Xenopus tropicalis: one gene and its partners. The protein of the gene in region 2 interacts with the protein of the main gene of each other region in a pairwise test. Links are inferred from orthologs where the notes say so. Each region holds a gene or a part of one and is shown on either strand. Other genes may lie near its edges.

What was found.
Region 1: the proteins of csde1 (region 2) and c11orf68 interact in a two-hybrid assay, tested with the Homo sapiens proteins (2 studies listed by BioGRID and IntAct). The link is inferred for Xenopus tropicalis from reciprocal best matches to the Homo sapiens genes CSDE1 and C11orf68.
Region 3: the proteins of csde1 (region 2) and hid1 interact in binary tests that used the Homo sapiens proteins (3 or more experiments, as listed by UniProt). The two-hybrid records come from large-scale screens. The link is inferred for Xenopus tropicalis from reciprocal best matches to the Homo sapiens genes CSDE1 and HID1.

Annotation. Positions count from the first base shown.
Region 1 is NC_030680.2:38,499,336-38,503,558, reverse strand, and holds the start of c11orf68 (UPF0696 protein C11orf68 homolog), read left to right. Parts: upstream 1-1,289; 5' UTR 1,290-1,653; intron 1,654-4,223. Other genes in the region: drap1 (dr1-associated corepressor), read right to left, coding at 960-1,001.
Region 2 is NC_030678.2:53,764,051-53,767,702, forward strand, and holds part of csde1 (cold shock domain-containing protein E1), read left to right. Parts: intron 1-18; coding exon 19-126; intron 127-1,180; coding exon 1,181-1,356; intron 1,357-3,237; coding exon 3,238-3,350; intron 3,351-3,652. UniProt on the Homo sapiens protein: RNA-binding protein involved in translationally coupled mRNA turnover.
Region 3 is NC_030686.2:44,285,078-44,289,289, reverse strand, and holds the start of hid1 (protein HID1), read left to right. Parts: upstream 1-1,366; 5' UTR 1,367-1,467; coding exon 1,468-1,533; intron 1,534-4,212. UniProt on the Homo sapiens protein: May play an important role in the development of cancers in a broad range of tissues.

The DNA of each region.
Region 1 (4,223 bases), on a different chromosome or scaffold from region 2:
AAAACTTGCCCCCAAGTCAGGAATTCAAAAATAACTCCCTGGTTTGGGGGCACTGAGAGCAACTAATGTTAAGGTAATGAGGAAGGCCTACTTGTGCACTGGATGAATAGGATAGCAAGGTGTATGCGTGTCAAACATAAGAACAGTGGTCTTCCAATTGACCAGCCCCCCCCCCCCCCCTTTTAAGGCCCACCACCATTTTACCAGGACACCCCCAATAGGGCCAACTAATTGACCCCCCCCCCCTTTAGCCCCATCATTTGACCAGGGCCCCCCTTCCCCTTTAATTTCCACCATTTGACCTTACCTCCCCCCCCCCAATAAGGCCCAACACTTAACCAGGACCCCCTCATCTAAGGCCCACCACTTGGCCAGGATCCACCCCCACCTTAATTAAAGCCAAAAACTGCCCAGGTCCCTTATCTTCTCACCTTTAAGACCCACCATTTGGCTTGGACCCCCTTAGCCCATAACAAGATCACAGACTCTGTGTATTATCCATTCAGTCACAGCCATAAGAACAGTGTTCACCCCAAAACTTGCTTTAAATGACCTTCATGAAGGGAATTAAATAGTACCTTGGGCATTCTACCCAGCTATGTCCCCGGGTGGCTGCGGGTTGGCCCTGCCAAGGCACCGAACATCCTGGTCGAGGGGCAGATACTCCGTTAAGGAACCAGTGTATTGAACGTAAACAATATATGTTTATAGACTGTACAAAAGGCACTAGTGAGCAATAACAAGCTGCAGCGTGTGCGGATACAGTGTTATTGTTACAATGAGGCTGAATACTCTGCACAACGCTCCTACTGCCCATAACCATAGCGCTGGGCAGAGCAAAAAAGATGCCAAAATCCGGCGCAACGCAAAGGATCCAGAACCAGAGGGGGGTCCTTGCGGGAGATTTTCGGGGAGCCTGTACCAGGAAAGAGCGGTGCGAGAGGAGACCGCCGACTCACCGGGGGAAAACGAGCGTTGTATTTCTTTTTCTTGCTCGGCATCTTCAGCGAGGGAAAGGGCGGGGGAGCAGAACTCAGCTGAGGCCTCCAGAGAAGCGGCAATAGCCACAAGCAGCAGCGCCGGGAGACTGGCAGTGTTCGCGCCCAGCGATGTTCATTAAAGTTGAGCGAATTGAGGAGGAAACACACCCTGCCCCGCTGTGCTCACTGCGCTGCTTCGCGAACAATAAAGTTTATTGACGAGCGCTGCCACTTCAGTGTTGCTTTTGTAGCGAGCAGTTCATTGAGTTGTGTATAAACTAAAGTTGTGTCAGCTTGGCCGCATTGCAAAATGCTTCTGTAGCGGCACACTTTCCCGCTGTAACAAAACCCATGCGATTTTTGTTTTTCTCTGAACTCGGAAATATTGCTGTATTGTTTGGTTTGGATGATGCACATGCCACAATATAAGTAAAGTGCATGGACGGCCGACCCTGAGGTGCTGGGTTGAAGCCAGCCGCGCACTAATGTACAGTATACTGTATTTTTTCTTCAGTGTTAGTGGCTTCCTCTAGTTAATAAAGTTTTTTGAAAAAAATGGAAGCAACAAAACCCTCCCTGTCTAGCAACCCAACATGTCACTGTTTCCGCGGCAACGCGGCCTGGTACAGGAAGTGGGACGCTGCAGCGACGCGACTTCGAATCGCTTAATCTTGTAAGGAATGAGTACATTTCCAGTGATTGGAATAGGCTAGGTTACCTGTTTTCCTGGTCATCGCCTTCTTTTCCTCTAGGTGTACTCTGTAGCTTTCTAGGAGTTCTTGAAAATGGTTTCATATTTTCATGTATATACACACAGAGAATACATACTTTGATCATTTATGTAGTAGGTACATTTTAATATTTACATTTATTTTAATCATTCTGTGGATCTCCACGAACACATATGTATGAATGTGTCTGGATTTGAAGAGAATGAGAGAAAGAAATAATATATATATATATATATATATATATATATTACAAGCTATTCTTTCTCTCATTCTCTTCAAATCCAGACACATTCATACATATGTGTTCGTGGAGATCCACAGAATAACTAAAATAAATGTAAATATTAAAATGTACCTACTACATAAATGATCAAAGTATGTATTCTCTGTGTGTATATACATGAATAAATATATATATATATATATATATATATAAAATACATAGTGATATAATACATTCATACAAAGTTAAAAGAACAACAATACCAAAAAATGAAAGTGTAACAGAATACACTTGTATTTACAGAGCTAATTTGTTATTTGTAAACCTGTGCATTACTCCTTCCCATCTTTAATGGCTACCCATTGCTACACAGCAGTGTGTTTATATACACAATAATAACATTTCTGAAGCAAACACATCAGTTTTACTATATGACTATGAAGATTTTCATTCATCCAGGTCATGGTATATCAGGCATGGGACCTGTTATCCAGAATGCTCAAGACCTGGGATTTTCCGGATAAGGGATCTTTCTGTAATTTGGATCTCCATAATTTTCAAAAATTGGAATTATTTGTTTGTAATGGAGTCTATGGCAGATGGCCTTTCATTAATTTGGAACTTTCTGTATAATAAGTTTCCAGATAAGGGATCCCATACCTGTATAAATAAATCTAAAGCAACTTGACTTGCTAAGTAATCATTGAAGACGTTTCAATACTCATCCGAGCAGCTGTCTTCAATGATTACTTAGCAAGTCCAGTTGCTTTAGATTTACTTATACTAGATATCACTTTTATTAGTACAGGACAACAAATTATCATGTTTTAATTATTTTCAAACACGTTAATGCTCGTTGATGCGGTCCCCGATCCGACTGCCCCATTGCCGCTCACATAATCCGATCGTCTGGCCCCAGGGCCAAACGATCGGATTATTATTTTTTTTACCTAAATGGTCCCCGATATCGCCCACCCGTAGGTGGGGATATTGGGGGAAGATCCGCTCGCTTGGCGACATCGCCAAGCGAGCGGATCTGCTCGTGTATGGCCACCTTTAGGCTGGTGCTGGGAAGAAACCTCACTGGTCTGGGGAAGTTAGAATTGCATTGTTGTCTTTCTGGTTAATAAATGCAGCCACGCAGATAGGCAGCTGCTGGAATGGAGCAGTGAGCACAAAGAGCAGACAACCATCTCTCACATTTCCTGCTTGCATTTGCATGCCTAGATCTAATTGCACACATGCCAGGCTGCAGTCATTTCTTTCCCATTCCCTTATTCCCAGCATAAGGACAAATTTATTAAAATTTAAGATATTTGTTTTGCCTCAATGTGATAAAATGCTGATACACTTGATCTTAATTATCTTATTATATGCATTTTGAGATACATTTTTAAAAAATCGCTTGAAAAAATTTGCCTGATAAAACCCTGTTGAGCTTGGCTAGAAGTAATGGGAAGTGTTTTTTCAGGATTCAAGCTATTTTATTTTTTTTGCGATTTGTAAGTCAACCATAGACTCATTTAAAATGAACGGATCAATGCAAATATGCTAGCGATCCAGAAAAAAACTCTGATAAGCTGGCCCTGGTAAGGGCAAATTTTATTTAAGCAATGAATTTCAGATAAGGCACTGGTCTGTTTTCTGGGAAGTAGAGAAGAGATGAGCAGAGCTCAAGTTATGCCACACATTTCTATTCCCTTGGGTATATAAAATATTTGTGTTTGCTTCCACTTTTATGCATTTTTGAAATAAAGTTCAGTAAAATGATTTGGTTATTCAAAATAGAGTTCTTTACTTACTATACCATAGAAACTCCATCCAAAGTCTGTAGTGAAAATGATCACAAAATATGGTAACGTCTGCCTGGCACTACAAAGTGATACATTTCAGAACAGTAGTGTAACTAACAGAGAAACAGTGGGTGCAACTGCACTGGGGCTTGCAACACTGCAAGCTTATGGCTCCTGCCACACAGGGTGGTTTCTCAGTCTGCAGATAAACAGATGCTTAGTGTGCCTGCAGCTGGGCCTGTGCAATGGCCCCGGGTGCAGGCACAGCAATGAACTTATTGAAACGTAGGGGCGGATTCTCATCTGTGTTTATCCGCCGGCCAAGAATCCGCCCTGTATGGTAGGAGCCTATGGCATAGGGGCCCCAGGACAAATTTTGCCTTGGGCCCCTAAGCCTTTGGTTACACTGCTTATTTGAATCTGTCAGATTCAGGTGTGTCTGTTTACTCAGCAAGCAAAGTTCTACTATTGCAAGGCTTCTTTAAAGGCTACTTCA
Region 2 (3,652 bases):
ATTCCTGCTTTGTAATAGGAGTGTGAAGAGGGAATAATTTCTTATGAAGACTGTGGTATCAGGCTAACTGTATCATATCATCTAAAAGATATTGAAGGATCATGTGCACCCCAAGTTGGAGATAAGGTAATAAATAGGGAAATGTAAATTGAGAATTTTTTTTTTTTTGTCTGAAGATGTAACTTTAGCTAAGCCTTTTGTTTGACGATCACAAGTAGGAGTAATTACATGCAAGAAGTTGACCAAATCAAAACTGCACTTTACTGTTAAAGGAACAGTAACACCAAAAAATGTATATATTTTAAAGAAATTAAACTGTAATGTACTGCTGCCCTGCACTGGTAAAAGTTTTGTGTTTGCTTCAGAAACACTAATAGAGTTTATATAAACCCTGGTGTGTAGCCATGGGGGCAGCCTTTCAAAAGAAAAGGCACAGGGTATATAGCAGCTAACAGATAAACCCTGTAGAATACAATGGTGTCTTATCTGTAATCTGCTATGTAACCTGTGCCTTTTTTCCAGCTTCAATGGCTGCCCCCACGGCTACACAGCAGCTTATTTATATAAATTATAGTAGTATTTCTGACGCAAACACACCTGTTTTTACCAGTGCAGGGCCACAGTACGTTCTATTTGAATTACTTTAAAACACATTCATTTTTTGGTGTTACTGTTCCTTTAAGTAAACTTTAAGTAACTTTGGGTTATAAACTGTCACTGCAGTCTTTAACTGCAATTGCATGCCATCTGCTCCACCATTAAGCGTATTTAGACTTTGCATTAATTTCTATATTTCAAGATATTGGCGATATGGAAATTACTAATATTAGATTAAAACACCATCACATGCCAGTCCTGATGCTCGTGTCTGCTTACAAAAAATATCAAACGACTTCTTGTCGGTCTGGATTTTAGGACTTTCCTATTCTGAAATTTTGTCCAAGCTGCCAACCTGGTCAGCAGAACTGACCCTCAGTTGGTACTATTTCAGTTATATTTATTTAAATTGGCAGATTTGCAGGACGGTAAGCAACATCAGTAACTGATGCACTTAGACTTGCATTGTGGTGCTGCTCTTTACATTTCCAAATAGTATAACTTCCCATTTCATAAGTCATATGAATCTCATTTCACAGTGCCTTTGTAGTCTGAGTCTTAAAAATGTATTTTGTTTGTGCAGGTTGAATTCAGCATTTGTGAAGCCAAAAGAACTGGTCAGCAGAGTGCTGTATCCATGAAGGTTCTTGGACGCAACTCAAATGCCAAAAGATTTTATGGATATGTGGCCACCCTTAAAGATAACTTTGGATTCATTGAAACTTCAAATCATGATAAAGAAATTTTCTTTCATTACAGGTACCGTGTTTGAAATTATGGATTTGCAATTAGATTTGTTTTTTTTAGACACTAGTTTTTTTATTTTGATAGTGTTGTCCAACTGTGTTGGTATATTGATCTGAATATTAGGAAACATTATAATAAATCTGTTGTCAAGCCAAGGTTCGCAAGTCAGGTTGTGGACGTCCAAAGCACAATATCTGTATCAGGCCCATGTATTTTAGTTTGACGGCCCTCTCAATACATGATTTAATGTTACATGTCTAATCTCTTGAAGATTTTAGAGCAAAGTTTTGTCTCAACTTTAGGCCTTGCCATGGTGAACATTACACCTGTCTTACTCTGTCACTGCTACTAATATATTTGAATAAATGTCCAATCAAATGGACATATGGAATTATAACATGCAAACTAGCATAATTATTTTGGTGGTAGTGTCTGCCTGTCACTCATCCCTGTGTTTCACTTGTAATTTACTAGAGAGGCATTCTGCCTACATTTATCCATCTGAGGGCAGCAGCGGACGAAATTCCTGTGCCAAGGGCCTTAATAACATAGGACAGTGCTGTCCAACTTCTGCGGTGCCGAGGGCCGGAATTTCTCTCTCATACATGGTGGAGGGCCGCTAATGGAAGCCAGTTTTGACCACTCCCCCTTTAAACCACACCCACTTCAAACCACACCCATTTTATCACAATGGTGGTCATATTAAGATGTACCCTTAAATCCATATGCCTCCTCCTGCCCTGTGGAAGCAACCCCCAGCATATGATTACACACCTTAGGGACCATTTCTTCGCTATTTCCAACTGCTAACAAACTCCCAAAACAAACCCCTGCCAGGTTCGCCTTACACAGGCAGCATAGGGTAGGGAGTGTATGGTACACACAGGCAGCACTCTGCCTGCCCTATGCTGCCTGTGTGTGCCATACTCTGCGTGCCCTACCCTGCCTGTGTGTGCCATGCTCTGCCTGCCCTACCCTGCCTGTGTGCCATGCTCTGCCTGCCCTACCCTGCCTGTGTGCCATGCTCTGCCTGCCCTACCCTGCCTGTGTGCCATGCTCTGCCTGCCCTACCCTGCCTGTGTGCCATGCTCTGCCTGCCCTACCCTGCTTGTGTGTCATACCCTCCCTGCCCTATGCTGCCTGTGTGTGCCATACTCTGCCTCCCCTACACTGCCTGTGTGTGCCATACTCTGCCTCCCCTACCCTGCCTGTGTGTGCCATACTCTGCCTCCCCTACCCTGCCTGTGTGTGCCATATACTCCCTGACCTATGCTGCCTGTGTGCCATACCCTCCCTGCCCTATGCTGTCCACACACAGGCAGCATAGGCCAGGCAGTACATACAATGTCTGAGGTGTGAACAGGAGAACAACGCAGAGATTAGAAGGTGTGAACAGTACAGGGGTTACATTTTTAAACAATACAGCCTGATTACAGCCTGAATCTGAGGTGAGAACCATGCATGGGGCCAGTTAAGATCAGTAACGATACCATTTAAAGCTTACACAAAGGTAAGCCATCAAAGCAGCTAGACAGGCAGGGGGCCACACAGAGGGGGGTCACGGGCCACCAGTTGGACAGCACTGACATAGGATATGCACTTTACACTTCTATGCTTTTCTACTTCACAACCAGGGCAAAAACATCAACATAATATAAAATCGCAACAGTTTATAGCTGTCAACATCTGATAAGTTTTTGTTTGAAACCAAGTTTTGTCAAACTGTGGCTGCCTAAACAAGCCTTTTTAAATATAATTCTGTTTTAATTATCCACAGATGGTCTGATTTTGTTTGTTTTGTCCAAAAACTGCACTATCTACGCAGGAACTAAAAAGTAAATTTTCGGTTTAGCTATGTTGTGAAAAACTTTAAATCTTGTTTTGTTGATACAGTGAGTATTCAGGAGATGTGGATAAACTGGAGTTGGGGGATATGGTGGAGTACAGTTTGTCAAAAGGCAAGGGAAATAAAGTCAGTGCTGAGAGAGTTACCAAGGCTCATCAAGGTAGGTGTATTATAAATGCATATAAATTGGATATGTATTCTACTGTACCTTTTACTGCTAAAACGTTACCTGTAATGTGTGAGGTTTTTATTGTATAGATCTGTAGAGAGCATCGAATAACATTGGACCCCTGTTTATCTTCTATATAAACATGTGCCTTTTTGCCCTATTCAGCATTGAGTCTTTACTAGCGCATGGGAACGGAGGTACTGGTCTTTTCTAGGTTGTCTGCCTAAACACTGTGTGTGCCGTTATTGGGAAATGAATTGGATATAATACTTTCTGGTGGGTGGATTGCGATG
Region 3 (4,212 bases), on a different chromosome or scaffold from region 2:
ATGTTTCTATATATCTGTAACCTTGTTATGGGCTAAGGGGGCCCAGCCTGAAGGCCAGTTAGGGGGGGATTTGGGGTGAGTGCTTATTTGTGCCCTGGGTACCCCTGGAACTATAGCGGGGTGACTGTTACCCCAATGTTTCTATATATCTGTAACCTTGTTATGGGCTAAGGGGGCCCAGCCTGAAGGCCAGTTAGGGGGAGATTTGGGGTGAGTGATTATTTGTGCCCTGGGTACCCCTGGAACTATAGCAGGGTGACTGTTACCCCAATGTTTCTATATATCTGTAACCTTGTTATGGGCTAAGGGGGCCCAGCCTGAAGGCCAGTTAGGGGGGAATTTGGGGTGAGTGCTTATTTGTGCCCTGGGTACCCCTGGAACTATAGCGGGGTGACTGTTTCCCCAATGTTTCTATATATCTGTAACCTTGTTATGGGCTAAGGGGGCCCAGCCTGAAGGCCAGTTAGGGGGGGATTTGGGGTGAGTGCTTATTTGTGCCCTGGGTACCCCTGGAACTATAGCAGGGTGACTGTTACCCCAATGTTTCTATATATCTGTAACCTTGTTATGGGCTAAGGGGGCCCAGCCTGAAGGCCAGTTAGGGGGGGATTTGGGGTGAGTGCTTATTTGTGCCCTGGGTACCCCTGGAACTATAGCAGGGTGACTGTTACCCCAATGTTTCTATATATCTGTAACCTTGTTATGGGCTAAGGGGGCCCAGCCTGAAGGCCAGTTAGGGGGGGATTTGGGGTGAGTGCTTATTTGTGCCCTGGGTACCCCTGGAACTATAGCAGGGTGACTGTTACCCCAATGTTTCTATATATCTGTAACCTTGTTATGGGCTAAGGGGGCCCAGCCTGAAGGCCAGTTAGGGGGGATTTGGGGTGAGTGCCAGACTGGTACAATTATAGGTGCATTTGCTGTGACCCTAGTCAGCTGGGTGCCCAGTAACGCTGGTGCAGTTCAGCCTCCCCAAGCTAGCAGCAATCACATCTGCCAGAGGGGTATGAGAGTTCCATGCAGTTCAAGCAGACCCCTTGGTGGAGCCCCAGTTGCTGCAGTTCAGCTATAAGGATATATATACAGGCTACCCTGGAAAGAGAGCTATACAGAGGCAGGAGTTATAGGAAGCATTACGGTTGCTATTGGAACAGCACATACAGTATCACACCACGCTGCCCAATCAGCAAACACTGACACCTGGACACACAATATGTCATCTCTTCCACTTCCTGTAACTGTATGGGCGGGGCCTGCAGGACAATCAAGGCGTGGTTTCAACCTTGATGCTGGTGACGGGGGAGAGGCGTGGAATCCGTGGGCGGGCTGCAGACGCTCGGTAGGCGGGATTACCGGGGGTGATTGACGGATCCGGTTCTCCAGCTGTTTCAGGCGGATTTAATCCTACCCGGTCGGGAGGGGTGGAGGGAGTGGACGGGCCAGGGCAAGGTTCCAGCCGGTAACGGAATGGGGAACACGGACACGAAGCTGAACTTCAGAAAGGCCGTGATCCAATTAACAACCAAGACTCAGGTACCTGCTGCACCGCCCAGCACCTTGTGGCACGTCATGTATGTGTGCTGGGGGGCCGCCTATACAGGTGCACTGGGGGGCCGCCTATACAGGTGCACTGATACGGGCTGTACTGGGGGGCCGCCTATACAGGTGCACTGATACGGGCTGTACTGGGGTGCCGGCTATACAGGTGCACTGATACGGGCTGTACTGGGGGGCCGCCTATACAGGTGCACTGATACGGGCTGTACTGGGGGGCCGCCTATACAGGTGCACTGATACGGGCTGTACTGGGGTGCCGGCTATACAGGTGCACTGATACGGGCTGTACTGGGGGGCCACCTATACAGGTGCACTGATACGGGCTGTACTGGGGGGCCGCCTATACAGGTGCACTGATACGGGCTGTACTGGGGGGCCGCCTATACAGGTGCACTGATACGGGCTGTACTGGGGGGCCGGCTATACAGGTGCACTGATACGGGCTGTACTGGGGGGCCGCCTATACAGGTGCACTGGGGGGCCGCCTATACAGGTGCACTGGGGGGCCGCCTATACAGGTGCACTGATAGGGGCTGTACTGGGGGGCCGCCTATACAGGAGCACTTATAGGGGCTGTACTGGGGGGCCGGCTATACAGGTGCACTGATACGGGCTGGCTATACAGGTGCACTGATACGGGCTGGCTATACAGGTGCACTGATACGGGCTGTGCTGGGGGGCCGGCTATACAGGTGCACTGGGGGGCCGGCTATACAGGTGCACTGGGGGGCCGGCTATACAGGTGCACTGGGGGGCCGGCTATACAGGAGCACTGATAGGGGCTGTACTGGGGGGCCGCCTATACAGGTGCACTGATAGGGGCTGTACTGGGGGGCCGGCTATACAGGAGCACTTATAGGGGCTGTACTGGGGGGCTGGCTATACAGGAGCACTGATAGGGGCTGTACTGGGGGGCCGCCTATACAGGTGCACTGATAGGGGCTGTACTGGGGGGCCGGCTATACAGGTGCACTGATAGGGGCTGTACTGGGGGGCCGGCTATACAGGTGCACTGATACGGGCTGTGCTGGGGGGCCGGCTATACAGGTGCACTGATACGGGCTGTACTGGGGGGCTGCCTATACAGGTGCACTGGGGGGCCGCCTATACAGGTGCACTGGGGGGCCGCCTATACAGGTGCACTGGGGGGCCGCCTATACAGGTGCACTGGGGGGCCGGCTATACAGGAGCACTGATAGGGGCTGTACTGGGGGGCCGGCTATACAGGAGCACTGATAGGGGCTGTACTGGGGGGCCGGCTATACAGGAGCACTGATAGGGGCTGTACTGGGGGGCCGCCTATACAGGTGCACTGATAGGGGCTGTACTGGGGGGCCGGCTATACAGGTGCACTGATACGGGCTGTACTGGGGGGCCAGCTATACAGGTGCACTGACAGGGGCTGTACTGGGGGGCCGGCTATACAGGAGCACTGATAGGGTTTGTGTAGTGGGGGGCCGCCTATACAGGTGCACTGACAGGGGCTGTACTGGGGGGCTGGCTATACAGGTGCACTGATAGGGTTTGTGTACTGGGGGGCTGGCTATACATGTAAACTGATAGGGGCTGTGTATTGGGGGCTGGATATACAGGTGCACTGATAGGGGCTGTGTATTGGGGGCTGGATATACAGGTGCACTGATAGGGGCTGTGTATTGGGGGCTGGATATACAGGTGCACTGATAGGGGCTGTGTATTGGGGGCTGCTATACAAGTGCACTGATAGGGTCTGTATTGGGGGGCTGCTATAGAGCTGCACTGATAGGGTCTGTGTATTGGGGCTGACTTTACAAGTACACTGTTCATTTATTGGTTGACAGCTATGCAGGAATTGTATAGGATCCTCACCTTCACTCCTTTTTGTCTGCATTTTAGTGGTGCTTCCGGTTCCCTGGGTGCCTGGGTGCCTGGCTGAACATCACCCAAAACATTCCCAGGGAATAACAGAAACAGCCCTTACATGAAAACTCTGGCGCCGTGCCTTTCATTTTAAACCACATTCAAATGTAAAAAGCAAAGTGCCAGTATTTTCATATGAGAGCTGTTCTTATTGTTTACCTATACAAGTGCTTTAACAGGGCCTGTGTACAGGGGGGGGGGGCTGGCTGAACAAATATGGGATCCATTATCTGGAAATCTATAATCCAGAAGTCTCTAAAATACAGGACTGCGAGTCTATACAGGTGCACTGAGGTGTATATTTCCCTAAGACCAGACCATAAATTATGTGTGTAAATACTGAAGATCGGGGATTGGGCTCTGCTTTACACCCACGATTGGAATTTGTGTCCCTGTTACACCAGTCTAGACCAGTCTTACAGTGGGGGACCTGTTCCTTGTTACACAAGCTTAGGTACATATCCTGCTGGTGATGATAAGGGGTTAGGGTTTCTCTTTCCCCAGCCCTAGGCCAGTCTGATGGAGGGAAGATGTTTCCCTATCGCACATTGTGTATTTAGGTTATGGCTTTCCTTGTTCCACCTGTTTATGCCTGGGGGTAGGCTTCCGTCTAACACACACCTGGAGCAGTTACCTGTAGGATAGGTGCAGTTCAGCTGGCTAGGCCATGTTTGTTTGTCCCTTATAGACCCTTTGCATTTGGGGGCTGGGGTGCGGGGATAGACATGTACCCTTATTACTTCTTTCCGGAACTGT